Drosophila melanogaster: one gene and its partners. The protein of the gene in region 3 interacts with the protein of the main gene of each other region in a pairwise test. Each region holds a gene or a part of one and is shown on either strand. Other genes may lie near its edges. The genes, in order: CG6340, Ugt35E1 and CG13310.

What was found.
Region 1: the proteins of CG13310 (region 3) and CG6340 interact in a two-hybrid assay, tested with the Drosophila melanogaster proteins (one large-scale study listed by BioGRID).
Region 2: the proteins of CG13310 (region 3) and Ugt35E1 interact in a two-hybrid assay, tested with the Drosophila melanogaster proteins (one large-scale study listed by BioGRID).

What each region holds. Positions count from the first base shown.
Region 1 is NC_004354.4:15,480,652-15,487,157, forward strand, and holds CG6340 (uncharacterized protein), read left to right. Parts: upstream 1-1,722; 5' UTR 1,723-1,823; coding exon 1,824-1,886; intron 1,887-2,530; coding exon of another isoform or gene 2,531-2,547; coding exon 2,548-2,769; coding exon of another isoform or gene 2,770-3,024; exon of another isoform or gene 3,025-3,729; intron 3,730-3,878; coding exon of another isoform or gene 3,879-3,917; exon of another isoform or gene 3,918-4,241; intron 4,242-4,470; coding exon 4,471-4,617; intron 4,618-4,680; coding exon 4,681-5,790; 3' UTR 5,791-5,961; downstream 5,962-6,506. Other genes in the region: CG6324 (uncharacterized protein), read left to right, coding at 1-70, 299-366.
Region 2 is NT_033777.3:11,163,915-11,167,878, reverse strand, and holds Ugt35E1 (UDP-glycosyltransferase family 35 member E1), read left to right. Parts: upstream 1-1,804; coding exon 1,805-2,045; intron 2,046-2,113; coding exon 2,114-3,456; downstream 3,457-3,964. Other genes in the region: Ugt35E2 (UDP-glycosyltransferase family 35 member E2), read left to right, coding at 1-168, 235-1,565.
Region 3 is NT_037436.4:8,798,099-8,802,400, forward strand, and holds CG13310 (uncharacterized protein), read right to left. Parts: upstream 2,435-4,302; 5' UTR 2,375-2,434; coding exon 2,227-2,374; intron 2,144-2,226; coding exon 1,991-2,143; intron 1,937-1,990; coding exon 1,673-1,936; intron 1,470-1,672; coding exon 948-1,469; intron 865-947; coding exon 746-864; 3' UTR 632-745; downstream 1-631. Other genes in the region: Fhos (formin homology 2 domain containing), read left to right, coding at 23-96; CG13311 (uncharacterized protein), read right to left, coding at 3,512-3,943, 4,001-4,030.

The DNA of each region.
Region 1 (6,506 bases), on a different chromosome or scaffold from region 3:
CGTCCAGGACGTTTTGATGGAGGCGAAGAGTCGGGCGGACGCAAGCCAAATCGTGGTCTAAAGGTTGCAAGTAAGGACCGCCATTTTTATAAATTTCTAAATTTAATTAGGTTGGGTTATTGCACTTTTAGTATCGACAGCTTGTAGTATCAATGCCAAAACATTATTTGCATTTCCCACAGATTCATGCATTCTAGAAAGCTTTTTTTGAATTTTGTAAACGCTTAGATCAGTAGTATTTAGCATTTGAGACATTTAAGACTTATGTACACTTATATTCACTTTATTCGCAACACAGAGCGTCGCTTTAATAACAAAATGGAGTCGGAGCGCCAAGATAGTGACTCTGATGGGCGTTTTTGCTAGAGGATCGGATGGAAAGAAAGATGATCTCAAAAAACTGGAAGATCTCGCCTTGAATAAAAAAAAACTTCCCACCGCTACCCGGGACATCGAACAAGTACAGGAATTTGGAAATTTGAAAAATCTCAGAGGAACAGGACAACTTGAAGCAGAAATTTTGAAAACATCTATTTGTGGCCTAAATATAAGAGCCTTTTTTTTTTTGTATACCTTTGGAGACATATCTATTAACAGAAGACAGAATTGCATTTACACACATATGTATCTACATATTGTTGACAGAAAAAATAATTGCATTTGCACAGATACGAGAATTGTTTGCTAACAGAAAAAACAATTTCATTTACACACAAATCTATTGGTAACAGAAAAAAAAAATTGGTAACACAAATACGAGAATCTATTGGTAACAGAAAACGAAATTGCATTTACGCACGTATGCGAATCTATTGTTAACAGAAAACAGAATTACATTAACCATTTCATAAACACACCTGATAAAACCACCGAACATGCATCAAAATGCTTGACTCGTGTAAATATCGAATTTGTGTGCCATAAAGTAATCAGTTTCGTGATCAATTTCGTGATTACAATTTTGTGATAGCTAGTAATTAATCCATTCCCATACAATTTTAGGGACTAAAGCAAAACACAATTATATTTACATTTTTTATGCAAACAACTGATGATAATAAAATCTTTACTAAAAAAATAAAACAACTTTCAACCTTTTTGAATGTGAACAATTGTACGAATCTAAAAAAAGGGAAGCATAAGCTGATCTTCTTAATAACGTTGGTATTCAACGCTATTGCGAGGCTGCAGCAATACTTTCCTTCTCAGTGGAAGCTCTGGATGAGTTCCATGATCCATAAACCTGGCAAACCGAAACAAAAGGGAGCCCGCTTCCAACAGGCCGATCAGCTTTCTCCTTTCGATCTCAAAGGTGTTTGACAGACTAATTGCTGCCCAGATAGTCAGGATAACGGAATCGAAAAGGATTACTCCTTACAGTACCGTTTAGCAACTCCATGCCGTGTACAGTATCCGCCCATCAATGAGGCTTAATTGAAGCCAACCGAGGTACCTCATTCTTCGATCTCCTTTAAGGCGGGTACGAATGGTCCGAATTAATATGCCTTTCTATATATGCCTTTACTATATGAGTAATTAAGCTTAAAAAGCTAGTTTAAAAACACGCGCTTTAGTGTATTTGAAATGTGTTTTACCTATTTTCGTTTCGTTTTTCAAAACATCGGCTTTTCAAATATACCGTTATTTATCAACGGATAGTTAGGAAATTCTATCGATACTTCGAAGCGCGCTGGCCACACTTTTCATCTCTATCAATAGTTCCACCACTACTTTCTTTTTTAGCAATTGATTCGTTTTTTTTTTGGACGCACCTGCGTGCTTCAGCCACATTTTTGGCCTAAAACAATTTTTGGCCCCAAACAATGGAGGCCCTAGTGAATTATAGTAGTGAGGACGACCAGGAGGATGCTGGCTTTCAGATACGGGTAAATATGCCTACACCGCAAGGCCGGAAGCAGCTGAAAAAAGAAAGAATCATCAGAGCGCATTTTGTGTACACATACATCTTCATCACTTTTTTCTTCCTTGCGTATATGGGAACCGCGTGTGTGTCGTGTTTGTGTTGTGTGTGTGCGAATGCGCGGAAACGCAAAATAAAGAACTGATCCCATCAATTCAAAAAACATAAAAAAACGAGGAAAATTCAAAACCACTAACCACTCCAATAATACATTTCAAGTATGCTTTGGTAAAATAATGCCAATTTGCTGTTTCTTAAAAGTTGCAAAATTCCCTTGGCACCACAACAACTGCAGCATTTGCCGCATGCTAAATCCTCGAGAACAACAACAACTGCTAACTTACTAGAGCAGAACAACAATAACTATGTTAGCGGCAACAGTCCGCGCGGCAAGGAAAGAGATTGCCGTATTTGAGAACCGTGTGTGTGTGTGTGTGCTTGTGTGTGTGTACGAATGCGCGGAAACGCGAAATAAAGATAACTGATCCCATCAATTAAAAAAAACATAAAAAAAACGAGCAAAAATCAAAACCACTAACCACTCCAATAATATAGTTCAAGTATCCTAGTGCTTTAGTAAAATAATGCGAATTTGCTGTTTCTTAAAAGTTGCAAAATTCCCCTAGGCACCACAACAACAACAACAACTGCGGCATTTGCCGCATGCTAAATCCCCGAAAACAACAACTGATAGCTTATTAAAGCAGAAGAACAACAATAACTATGGCAGCGGCAACAGTCCGCGCGGCAAGGAACGAGAAAGAGAGCGCGAGCGGGAGAGAGAGAAGACAAAGCCGATGTCGCAGCAGCAGAGTCATAGGAGCAGCAGCAGAGGACGCATTGATGAGGTAAAGACTTGCCGTTGCACCAAATCGATATTTACTTCCCATAATATATACCAAATACCATATGCTATTGTACTCCATACGTATGTGTGTGTGTGTGTATCTGGGTTGGAGCGCAAGCGGATCTTTCATGTGCCGTTTCCTTCCGCTGCCGCAAAGGGCGACGCCATCGCCGACTGCGCTGCCAGCAGCAGCACTTACAGAGGCAGGCAAAATAATAGCACAGAGTCCGCTTTAAATCAAACGTCTAATGTATAGATATCAATCAAATCGAAACCGAGATCTTTTAAACTTTTGAGTTAAAGTTAATCCCAGTTGTATACATTGGCCAATTCACTTCAAATAAAAAAGAGAAAATGCCACGTAATGAATGAAAAGTACTTGTGCCAAAAAAACAGGACACTGCATCAAATCAATAATGCAGCCTAGTTTTCAGTGCCTCCATTCCTTTACGCCAGCAAAAGTAATAATTCTATACATAGGCAAGGTCATTGGCAGCAGTACTTCATTGTTAAAACTAAATTAATGGAATGTTAAAACACAATAATGCATGCAGTCCATTCCCCACTGGTTCTATAGTTTATATTGCAATTAAAGAAAAGAACAGATTCACAATCTTTTCTTGTAGTCTTGTAGTTCAGCTTTACTTCGGTTATCATTGATTAATACTTCCATTAGTTACAGATATAAATCGCAGATCTTGTTAGATTCTGCATCTTTAGGGGCTTCAGGCATTTTCTTGTGCTATTATTTAGTCATCTGCTGTTCCCAACTGAAAAATTCAATATTCATATATTTATGTATATTGATCTCCACGATCGACTGCATGCGCTCCAACCCGTTACATCCAAATTTCGCTACTGCCAGATTTATATGGGCCAAAAACTCAAAATTAAATCCAAAGACAGAAAATTCTGTTTGTTCGGTCCGCTTGCGATTTACACACACATTGTTGTTGTTGTTGTTCGGCCAGCTTAGTTAAGTCTACAAACTTTATATGCCAATCAATATTTAAATGACTAAACTCTACCATTTTATTATCATTGTTATTGTTGTTACGTAAACGAAACCGAATCGAACCAAAACGAAAAACCATTTTCCAAACAAACAAGTCAAAAACAAAAAACGAAAACAAACCTGACCGACGATAATTGACGATAGCCCGATCGTAGTAATCGCTCGATTACCAATAGCTTCTTCGATAGTGCGACAATCGATCAAATTTGTTATGACCACCACTGTGTGTGTAGTCCTGTGTGCGACTCTGTGGCTGTGTTGGTGGGTGTGTGTGAGCCACTGAAAAAGGTAAAAGCAAATAGAACGATCACACTCACCACACACATGCCCGCCCGCACACACACACACACACACAACCACCCACCCATCCACCCACTCACTCACTCACTGGTGGCGCGAAAGCGAGAGAGAGAGAGAGAGAGAGAGATAATGCGAAAGAGAGATCAAGGCGCACGAAAGTGAGTATACAAAAAGCGATCAAATAGAACCTAACAACTCTCTAAGCAATCTAGGACACCCCGGAAAGGACCCCAGCTGGTGGCCCACAGCCCGAATCCTCTTTCTATTTCCCCTCCAGCATCCTAAGCATCTAGCAACTAGACCTAGATCCTTAGTCGCCGGCGCAGATTCGTAGATCCATACGCTCTAATGTAATTCTCCTCAATGTGTTGCTTCATCCCGTTCCAGGAGCCGAAGCCCAGCAGTCGCCACCGCCAGGAGCGGGACAAGGACAGGGAACGGGACCGCGACCGCGAACGTGACAGGGACAAGGACAAGAAGCGCAGCGATTCAGAACGCAGTCGCGACAAAGGACGCGACAAGAATCACAGCAAGGTGAGACAGAGTCCTAATCAACTCAGCATAACTCAGCCAAACTAATGTCTGTGCTATTTACAGGGCGACCATCGCCACCATCGTACCAAAGACGGCGACAGCCACAGAGAGCGGGAGCGGGATCGTGACCGGGAGAGGGAGCGAGATCGCGACAAGGATCGGGACCGTAGGCGTTCGGAGAAGAGCAGTCGCCACCACAGTGGCAAGGAACGCCATCATCATCATCACAACAACTCATCGTCAGCCGCCGCTGCAGCGGTCAGTGCAGCATCAGTCCGTCGATCCCATGATGAACGCAGTCGTCGTCGCCGGGACTCTCGATCCGGTTCCCGCACACCAACGGGCACGCCGCCCTCTCGTCGCCGCCATCAGTCGCAACAGTCACGCAAATATCGCGAACGCGACTCCAGCAGCCGCTCCAGATCTCCGAAGGAAGAACAAGCCACAACACTTCGCGGTGGAGCTGTGGCCGGATCTCATATGCTGCTCGCTAAATCAGGCGGCGGAGCAGGATCAACGGCAACTAATGCAACAGCAGCGGCGAGGGTTGCAGCGGCCGCTCTGGTAGCTGCCAATGCAACAGCCGCAGCCATGGCAGCCGGTTCATCCGGCGGCGGTGGCGGCGGTCTCCTGCCCACGCCCAACTATGCGCCCAAGATACCCTCGCTGATGTCCTTGGAGCTGAGCACACCAGCGGCAGCAGCACCAGTCGCAGAACCCATCCAGCTGCCCAGTTACTACAATCCGAGCATCATCAATGCCAATCGCTATGCGGAGCAGCAGCAGAAGCGCAAGCTACTGTGGGGCTCCAAGAAGAGCGAGAACTCGGCGAACAAGTGGGGCAACGCGCACTTCTCCCAGGACTCCGACGGCAAGGTGGCCTCCAAGTTTATGCGGCTCATGGGTATCAAGAACGCTGGTACGTCCGGCAATGACGATGGCAAGGGCGGCCAGGCGGAGTCCACCAATGGAAGTGCAGCAGGCGAGGGAAACCGCGCAGTAAGAGGTGCTGCGCCATCGGGAGCCGCTGGCGGAACGAAAGTGCCCACGGACGTGCAGCAGCGCCAGCGCATGTTCTCCAACATGGAGCAGCAGTACGAGATGGCGCGAGCCGCCACACACACGATGCGTGGCGTGGGGCTTGGTTTCGGCTCCCAGCCACGTACTTTCTAGAAGGGATCGGAACGGAGGAGGATCGGCTCCCTGCCAGGCTGTAAATACCATGCCACTCACTCAACTCATTAGTCAGTCAATATGTTTCTCCTCAACAACTTTTTGTTTGTGTTGAGAAAATTTTTTGTTTTTTTGATTTCAAATAAACGTTGCAACAGAATTTATGAAGTGACGTGGCTCTCTCTTTGGATTTGCTTGGGATAAATGCGTCGTTAGGTAGACTTTTAGTCTACACTATTACTAAGTATGCTAAGAGTATCCAACTTTAACTACAAAGTTCAGCGGCTCTAATCGAAGAATGCTTGAATATTCAATAATAAATAAAGGTATTTTTTTTTACAATAAACAATTTTAAATTTTGGCACTCTGTTTAGTAGATGTCAGTTTTTTGCCATGCACCTTGGCGGTCGGTCTGCCTATCGCCAATCGATAGCTGACCAAAAACAATAACAATAACAAAATCAGCTGACGATAGGACGTCGGATATCGATACCATATCACAAACTAATAATAAAAATAATAATAAATAAGAGAATTAATACTACTAGAACACAAACAAAAGCATATAAAGCTTACACATCCTTTATTAAAACAAACAGCCAAATTGGATTTAAATTGTGGAACGAAGCAAACAGAACCGCTTGAGTTTGTGCCACTGCCACGCAAAAAAAATTATCGTTTCCAAAAAACTAAGCATACTTCATCCGAAATTAGCA
Region 2 (3,964 bases), on a different chromosome or scaffold from region 3:
GCGTGTTTCCCATACCAAGCCACTCGCATTACTATCACGCCCTACCTTATCTAAAGAAATTGGCATCTTTGGGCCATGAGATAACTTCTGTAAGCCCATTTCCATTGAAAGAACCTGTGGCTAATATACATGATATTCCAGTTCCGGAATTATTTGACAATATAGAGGGTAAGTAATACTTAAGAGTTACTTAAAATATACCTATGCGAAAATGTATTTAAAACATCCTTTCAGAAATTGTTGGAAATCTAACAAACCGGAAGGGCACATGGAATGAATTTGAATACATCAACCAGTATACCCTTGGTCTTGTCGAAAAAGTGCTTGAAAATGATGGAGTGCGTCGAGAGATTCTGCAACCAGAAAGTCTTCAGTTTGATCTGATCATTGTCGATCTTTGGCGGCTTGATGCTCTATACGGCTTGGCGGCCTATTTTGATGCCCCCATCATTGGAATTGCATCTTATGGAACCGACTGGAAGATTGATGAACTAGTGGGCAATGTATCACCTTTAGCATACCTGCAGTCTCCGTCTTTCAACTGGTTTGATCTCGACACCTATGGAGGACGTCTGGGTCACTTTGTGGATCAGTCCATGGCTTGGATTAACTGGCATTGGCGGCACGAGGAAAGGCATGAGGCGGTCTACAGAAAGTACTTCCCAAAAATTGCCGATAAACGTTCGCTGTCCGAGATCACCAGAAATTTCGCCTTGATTTTGGTTAACCAACACTTTACGATGGCACCACCACGTCCGTATGTTCCCAATATTATTGAAGTCGGTGGTATGCATGTCGATCAACAACCTAAAGCTTTACCCCAGGACCTGGAGGACTTTATCCAAGGGGCTGGTGAACATGGAGTAATTTACTTTTCGCTCGGCACCAATGTAAGAAGTAGAAATTTGTCTAAGGATCGCAGGAAAATATTGATTGACACATTTGCCAGCCTGCCACAGCGCATCTTGTGGAAATTCGATGCTGATGAGTTGTCAGATGTACCCTCAAATGTTCTAATTAGCCCGTGGTTTCCGCAGCAGGACATCCTTGCTCATCCAAACGTAAAGCTGTTTATTACTCATGGAGGCTTACAGAGCACAGTCGAATGTATCCATCGTGGTGTACCGATGCTGGGATTGCCGTTCTTCTACGATCAGTTCAGAAATATGGAACACATCAAAGCGCAGGGCATAGGTTTAGTTTTAAACTATAGGGATATGACAAGCGATGAATTTAAGGACACCATTCATCAGTTGCTGACAGAGAAGAGTTTTGGTGTCAAGGCAAAAAGAACAGCGGACAGGTATCGGGATCAGCCAATGAATCCTTTGGATACGGCGATCTGGTGGACTCACTACGTCCTGCGTCACAAGGGAGCACCTCATATGCGGGTAGCGGGCAGAAATCTGGATTTTATAACTTACCACAGCTTGGATGTTTTGGGAACTTTTCTCCTGGCCGTTTGGGCGATCCTTAGTATTGTTGTCCTTTGTGCAATTAAACTGTTAAGGGCTATCTTAAAGAGTAAAAAGGGTAATATATCACCCAAGCAAAAAATAAATTAACTTACAAATATATCAATAGAGAATACATATCTGTGTACATTCGTAGAAAGGTAGATGTATGATTTATGACATATAGATTAGGAAGATGTAAGCATGTTGTTAGTTAATGCTAAAATATATTATACTTCCTAACACTCTTATCGGGTTAATCTTATCAATATTTATTTTAAAATGGTTTGTGGCTGAAATTCACTTAGTCTTCGTTGAAATCTTGATAAAAGCAAAGTTGCGTTCTAAAAATGTTGGCATCGGGCTTGTTTTACCTTATAATTTTACTATTTCCTGGTTTCTTGTATGGAGCTCGAATTTTGGCTTTGTTTCCGGTTCCCTCCCATTCGCACTATTATCATGCCCTTCCATATCTCAAAAACTTGGCCTCTTTGGGTCACGAAATAACTTCAGTAAGTCCATTTCCATCTGAAGAACCAGTGAAAAATATATACGACATTTATGTTCCGGAAGTGTTAAATAGTTTTGACGGTAAGTAAGGCAATATATATTTTATATACAATCAGATTTTTGCATCTATACGTTTATATTCTTATTAGAACTATTGAAACAAATGACAACCCCGAAAAACACGTGGGAGTTCTTCGACGCAACCAATGAATTTGTGTATAATATTACTAAAGATGTATTTAATAACGACGGAGTGCGACGAGAGATACTCAGGCCGGGAAAGGCTCAGTTTGATCTGATTATTGTGGACATATGGAAGTACGATGCTTTTTATAGCCTTGCCGCCTATTTTGAGGCTCCAATTATCGGATTAGCTCCCTGTGGAATCGATTGGAAAATAGACGAAATGGTTGGTAATCCATCGCCGATGTCCTATCTTCAGTCGCCCTCATCTTACCTTTACAACCTGGATACTTTTGGGGGTCGCGTGGCACACGTTGTGGAAGTCGCCATTTCTTGGTTCAACTGGCACTGGCGTTATGAGCAAAAGCATGAGGCACTTTACAAAAAGTATTTCCCAAAAATAGCTGAAACAAAGCCACTGTCTGAAATTAGCCAAGACATTGCTTTAGTTTTGGTAAATCAACATTTCACATTGGGTCCACCACGTCCGTATGTTCCGAATGTAATCGAAGTTGGTGGTATGCATATTGATGAACAACCTAAAGCTTTAGCCCAGGATCTGGAGGACTTTATCCAAGGTTCTGGTGAGCATGGTGTAATTTACTTTTCTCTGGGCACCAATGTAAGGACGAAAAATATGGTAGATGACCGCAAGAGAATATTGATAGAAGCCTTTGGCAGCCTGCCACAACGCGTCTTGTGGAAATTCGAGGATGAAGAGCTGCAGGATATACCGTCGAATGTTCTAGTACGCAAATGGTTACCGCAACAGGACCTACTGGCCCACCCAAAAGTGAAACTCTTTATAACCCACGGAGGTATGCAGAGCACCATTGAGAGCATTCACTATGGTAAGCCCATGCTGGGATTGCCCTTCTTCTACGACCAATTTACCAATGTGGATCACATCAAAAAACATGGCTTTTGCCTGTCTTTGAACTATCATGATATGACAAGTGATGAGTTGAAGGCCACAATACTCCAGTTGCTGACGGAGAAGAGATTTGAGGTCACGGCAAGGATAGCAGGTGCTCGCTATCGAGATCAACCAATGAAGCCTTTGGAGACAGCTGTCTGGTGGACTCACTACGTCCTGCGTCACAAGGGAGCACCTCATATGCGGGTGGCCGGGAGAAAATTGAGCTTCTTCACCCACCACAGTCTGGATGTCTTGGGCACTGTTCTTCTTGTTATTTTGCTTGTTATCATTGCCATTCTTCTTATTATTGTTTTTAGTGTTTGTAAGATTTCTAAGAATATCTCAACGCGTTTAGTTGTTAAAAAACAACGAAAGCAGAAAGTTCGTTAGAAATACTTACAATAAATATTTGCACAATAAATAAATAATTTCTTACAATAAATATTTGCACAATAAATAAATAATTTCAGACAAATAGATAGATAATTTGCTTTTATTGCTAAGGTGGCATTTTCCCAATGGCTAAAAGGAGTTTGAATTCTGCTTACCTCTTCTATAATATCGTTACCATAGTTTATAGCTACTAACCCCCGCGATAATGGCCATCGTATGACCGAACGAGGCTCGAGGAAACACCGCGATTCCCAGTTTGTTTTCACCACAGATAGAGCACCAAAATGATGGGATATTATGTATGATGCGCGTATTTATATTATAACGATGCTTTTCTGGTCACACGCAAAGCTGCTCGATTGGCGTCCAGTGAATTATGGAATACGCATTCAAATATTTGCATGTGTGTGGGCTGGGCGTGAACGACGGTTTGAGCGCATTTATTAACCGCTGCCAATCAGTTGCATACGCTGCGTATGCGTAATATTAAATTGCACGGAGTCAC
Region 3 (4,302 bases):
TAATATTTAATATATTTTGCAGTACGTCGCACGCTGAAAAACGGTCTGACCGAGGAGGAGAAACAGCACGTGGCTGCCTTGATACAAACCTATTAGGATTAGGACAGACATATATCGTAGATACCCGCATCACATCCGAGATAATACCATCCCCCAGTGACGTCACAAGTCGGGCACTACGCGCACAGACTGAAATTGGCGATCTCAGGCGAGCAAGCGAACCCAGAAATTACCCTTTTATACGACAACGTGCGCATAGTTAGTACTGGTTTTTATTATTTTCTTTTTTGTCACGGCAAAAAAAATGAGTACCAACAACGGCAACAACGCTGCAACGAAAATGTCCTTAAACAAAAGCGTTTATCATCGTGTTTTTCTGTTATATAATTTTTGTTTTGCTTCTGCTAAGTATTATTAATTAAACGTAATTCAATAAACCTGTATTAGTAGTTGAAAACGATTTTAATGTTAGAATTTGGATCACATGAAATTTCGATATCCTTTACGACAACACTAAATTTGTACCAAAACCCGACACGATTTTCTAAATTAACTTAAATTTTAATGTTACGTCTAACTTAATTACGAAAATCAATAAATAAAACATATTTATTACATACGAAAGATGTGTGCGTTTTTCCTGCGACTTTTGCAGCGCCAATCATAATTTCCTTGCGATTTTAGTCGCGTGGAATTCGTCATGTGGATTTTGTGTTTAGAGTATTGCATACTTGTGGGCTGGTGTCTAAAAGCCATTTGTGCATGGTTGCTGAACATAATCAAGGCAAAATCCTCGGTTGTCTATATCATTCGGCGCTTCTACTCCGTCCGTGTGGAAATAAAGCCGGAAAGGACGAACACTTGCTGTGGGGATATATTGAAGAAAATATATTATTAATAATCTTTTAATGATAGGATTCGATTTGATGACCTAAGCTTGTACGTACATTGCACTGTTTTGGCGAGCATTCCGGCCTCCGCACTAAAGGTGCCTCCACAGACGCGATCCTCGCAACCAGGCAGAGGAGGAATCCTGTCCGCCGATCGAATGCAACCAATCAGTAGCCAATCGCTTGTGCAACCGTTCAAGTTTGGTGGCATGCCACCACCACCACCCACCATCGTGGCCACCGGATTGTTGGAGTTCCCAGTGAGTGTGAACGATCTGGATCTGTTGTTCTCCAGATCCGGACATGCGTTGTACTGAATGCCGCAAAAGTTGCGCTCGTTCCGTATGCAGATGCTGTAGTCCTGATTGGACAGTTGTCTTCCACCCACCGTGTTGTAATTAAAGCTGCGCACACGACCACTAATTGCCGTATAGTACTGCAGACAGCCTTGGTCCGCTCGACTGATGCTACCACAGTGGATTTGGGTGACGCGGATTCGCCACAGACGCGGAAAACTTCCGCTGGTGATCACCGACAAAACAATCGGATTGCTCTGGCCAAGACCCGCGTCAATGTACACTGCGAAAACAAAAGGTTGGCATTGAGAAGACGGTTTTGTTTACAGGGCTAATCTAAAAGTGTGCGCTTTAGATTAAATATTTACACACTCGTTTTGATGGCTTATCATCTAATTCAGCATACTTAATCGGTGGTTAGTCTCTTAGAAATCCTTTAAAATTTTCTAGAATTTATGTTTTTGTAAAAGCATGCCAAACACTCACTGTGATCTCCCGTTGAACTGCCACAAATGGTGGGCGTGGGACTACCGCCCGATATGAGCAACTGATCCTGATTGCACAGATGATTGGCTGCCTCTGGAGGAGCTATCGAGAACATATCCAAATCCAAGCGCAGCTGACAGATGTCCGGATGCAGTTTTTGAACGGTTACCTGACAACTACCAGTGCCATCGTAGACATCCGGGTGATTGGGATTCACAAAGTAAGTGGAGTTCTCTCGTATAATACCGCCGCACGTCTGTAGAACTGAACGAAGGTATTAAGAATAGGCGATTGCTTTCACATGGGTGGGAAACTCACAGATGCAGCAGACGCCATAGCCACCGCCACAAGGACCGGCCGGGATGCCGTTCCGCAGTACACAATCCTTGCTGGGAATGCAATTTCCCTGTTCGCCGGAGGGCGCTGAACAGCTGCCAGGACCGATGGGCACCAGGGCGAAAATGGGCAAAACTGGTGGATGTTACACAGAATTCAATTCAATTTTTTTCTTTTGTTAACACTAACTGCTGGTCTTAGCCAGCTTTAAGACCCACATTTGGATTCGCGCCAACGTGGTGCAGGAGTTAGCCACTTGCTGCCGAAAAGCATATCCCGCCAACTGTTTGTCGGAATCTGTTTCTGGATTTTACAGTTGGCCAGGACCAAGAGGCAGGAGAGCAGAGTCAGTTGCAGATGCAACATGGTAAATAATCCACTGGGAGATCGGTAGTTGTTGGGCAGATCCGCTCGCGTTGATTTGTGACTTTGTTATGAAAGGCAGCAACCGCGGGGGCGACAATTTATTTCACTCGGCGCGGCAAAAAGTTTAATGACCGCAATTTGTTCAACGCTTTTCGCTTTTTAGTTTTAGTAAGCCCAAACGCAGCTGAGTTTAGCTAAATATTAATTACAATAACAAAACGCAACCGTCACAACAATTAGATGCGCCACAATCAACGAAGTGCCAGGGGGCCTTTTCGGATGTTTTGGCTGCTCTTGGTTGGTTTGAATGGCTTCGATGGGAGGTGGTCCCATCTCTGTGCTCTCGCTTTTCACTGTTTGTTTCCTGTTGCGAATTTGTTTTCCACACCTTTGGGCGCCCATTAAATGTGGAGCAACACCACCCGTAGGCCAAATATCGGAGCATGAAAGTGCCGAACAATTTGTTTACGGCATCACAGTCATCACAAAAAAATGTTTTTGGTACGTAACAGCTTTGCACCATTTTGACGTCATTGCTTCATATGTCTAATTTGATTACGCAGCACTCTCGCTCAATTGGGTCAATGTCAATTAAATTGCTTAATTTAATTAAAACATACTTAAAGTAAATAGAGATACCTCCAAATTTGTTTTCACTTCTTTATGGCGAAAGAACTGACCTTCGCAATAGAATTTGCGATGCTTTTGGCCCTGACAACATGAGATGACCAAAACAATGATAAGCTTTTAGCTTAACAGTGATAAAAAGTGTTTTATTGCTGGAATTCTTAAGAAATTCTTTTTCGTCTGCTGACTTGTCTACTAACAATAAATTATGTTAGTTATATAACAAAAAGGACAGATAGAAAATTAATGGAAGAGCGAAATTAAATGTGGATTGCTTTGTGCATGATTCGTACGTTCACCATTTGGTAAATCTAGGAATTGTAAAACATTTATGCCCTAGATGAGATTCAAATAAAATCTTAATGATCAATGTTATCTACAAAGTTTCACTTTAATAGGGAAACTTCTTTTATCATTGAAACAAACTATTTATATAAGTTACAAAAATCGTGGTTTATTTAATAGTTTAGACATGAGGTAGTGAAAGCATTTTAAATTAATTCAAAAGTTCTATAGCGGACTGTCCCTATCGCATTCGACGGAATCACCCACTTCGCAGAGATCCACGCAGTATTTGCCCGATTTAATCGAGCAGATCTTGTTGTCCTTGCACTTGGTGACCTGGCCAGTTAGGTTGGTGCCATCGCACATCTGGAAGGTGGTGCGACTGGTGCAGACGAACATGCTGTTTCCATCGCAGGTGGGGCAGGATCCATCGGCAGTGCCTGAGCAGGAGCTATCCACTACACTGCTGTCCATGCAGATGATTGCCAGGTCGGTGCAGACCTTGTTATCCGGACACTGAAGGACCTGATTGGGCGCCACATTATCGGAGCAAAAGCTATAGTGCGTTTCATTCAGGCATTTCACATTGTTGGCTTGGCAACTGTTGCACACTCCTTGGACCAGAACTGCCATCGAGCTTACAACCACAATGAGGCACTAAAAATTATAAATTTGTTAAAACTTTTTCTCAAAATAAATTGCACATTGTCTTACTAGGTTTCTTAGGATTTGGGATTGCTGCATTATGCTGACTTTGAATGTGACTAACGGACTAACTGTGATATCCAACAGCTATAGGGCTTTTATAAGAACTGTCTCTAGAAAACAGAAGATAGCTTTAGCGTTTTATGCCGTAGATTAGGTATGCTAAAGATCTTAGAATATATGATACTGTTTGCCCCGTAGCGCTCCCGTGCTACTCGAAGATTGCGCTACTGGGAAGAGCAGTTTTATGGCATTCCACGGCATTGAAAGATAAATGTTATGGCCCCGAGATCATCACAGAGATATGGCCC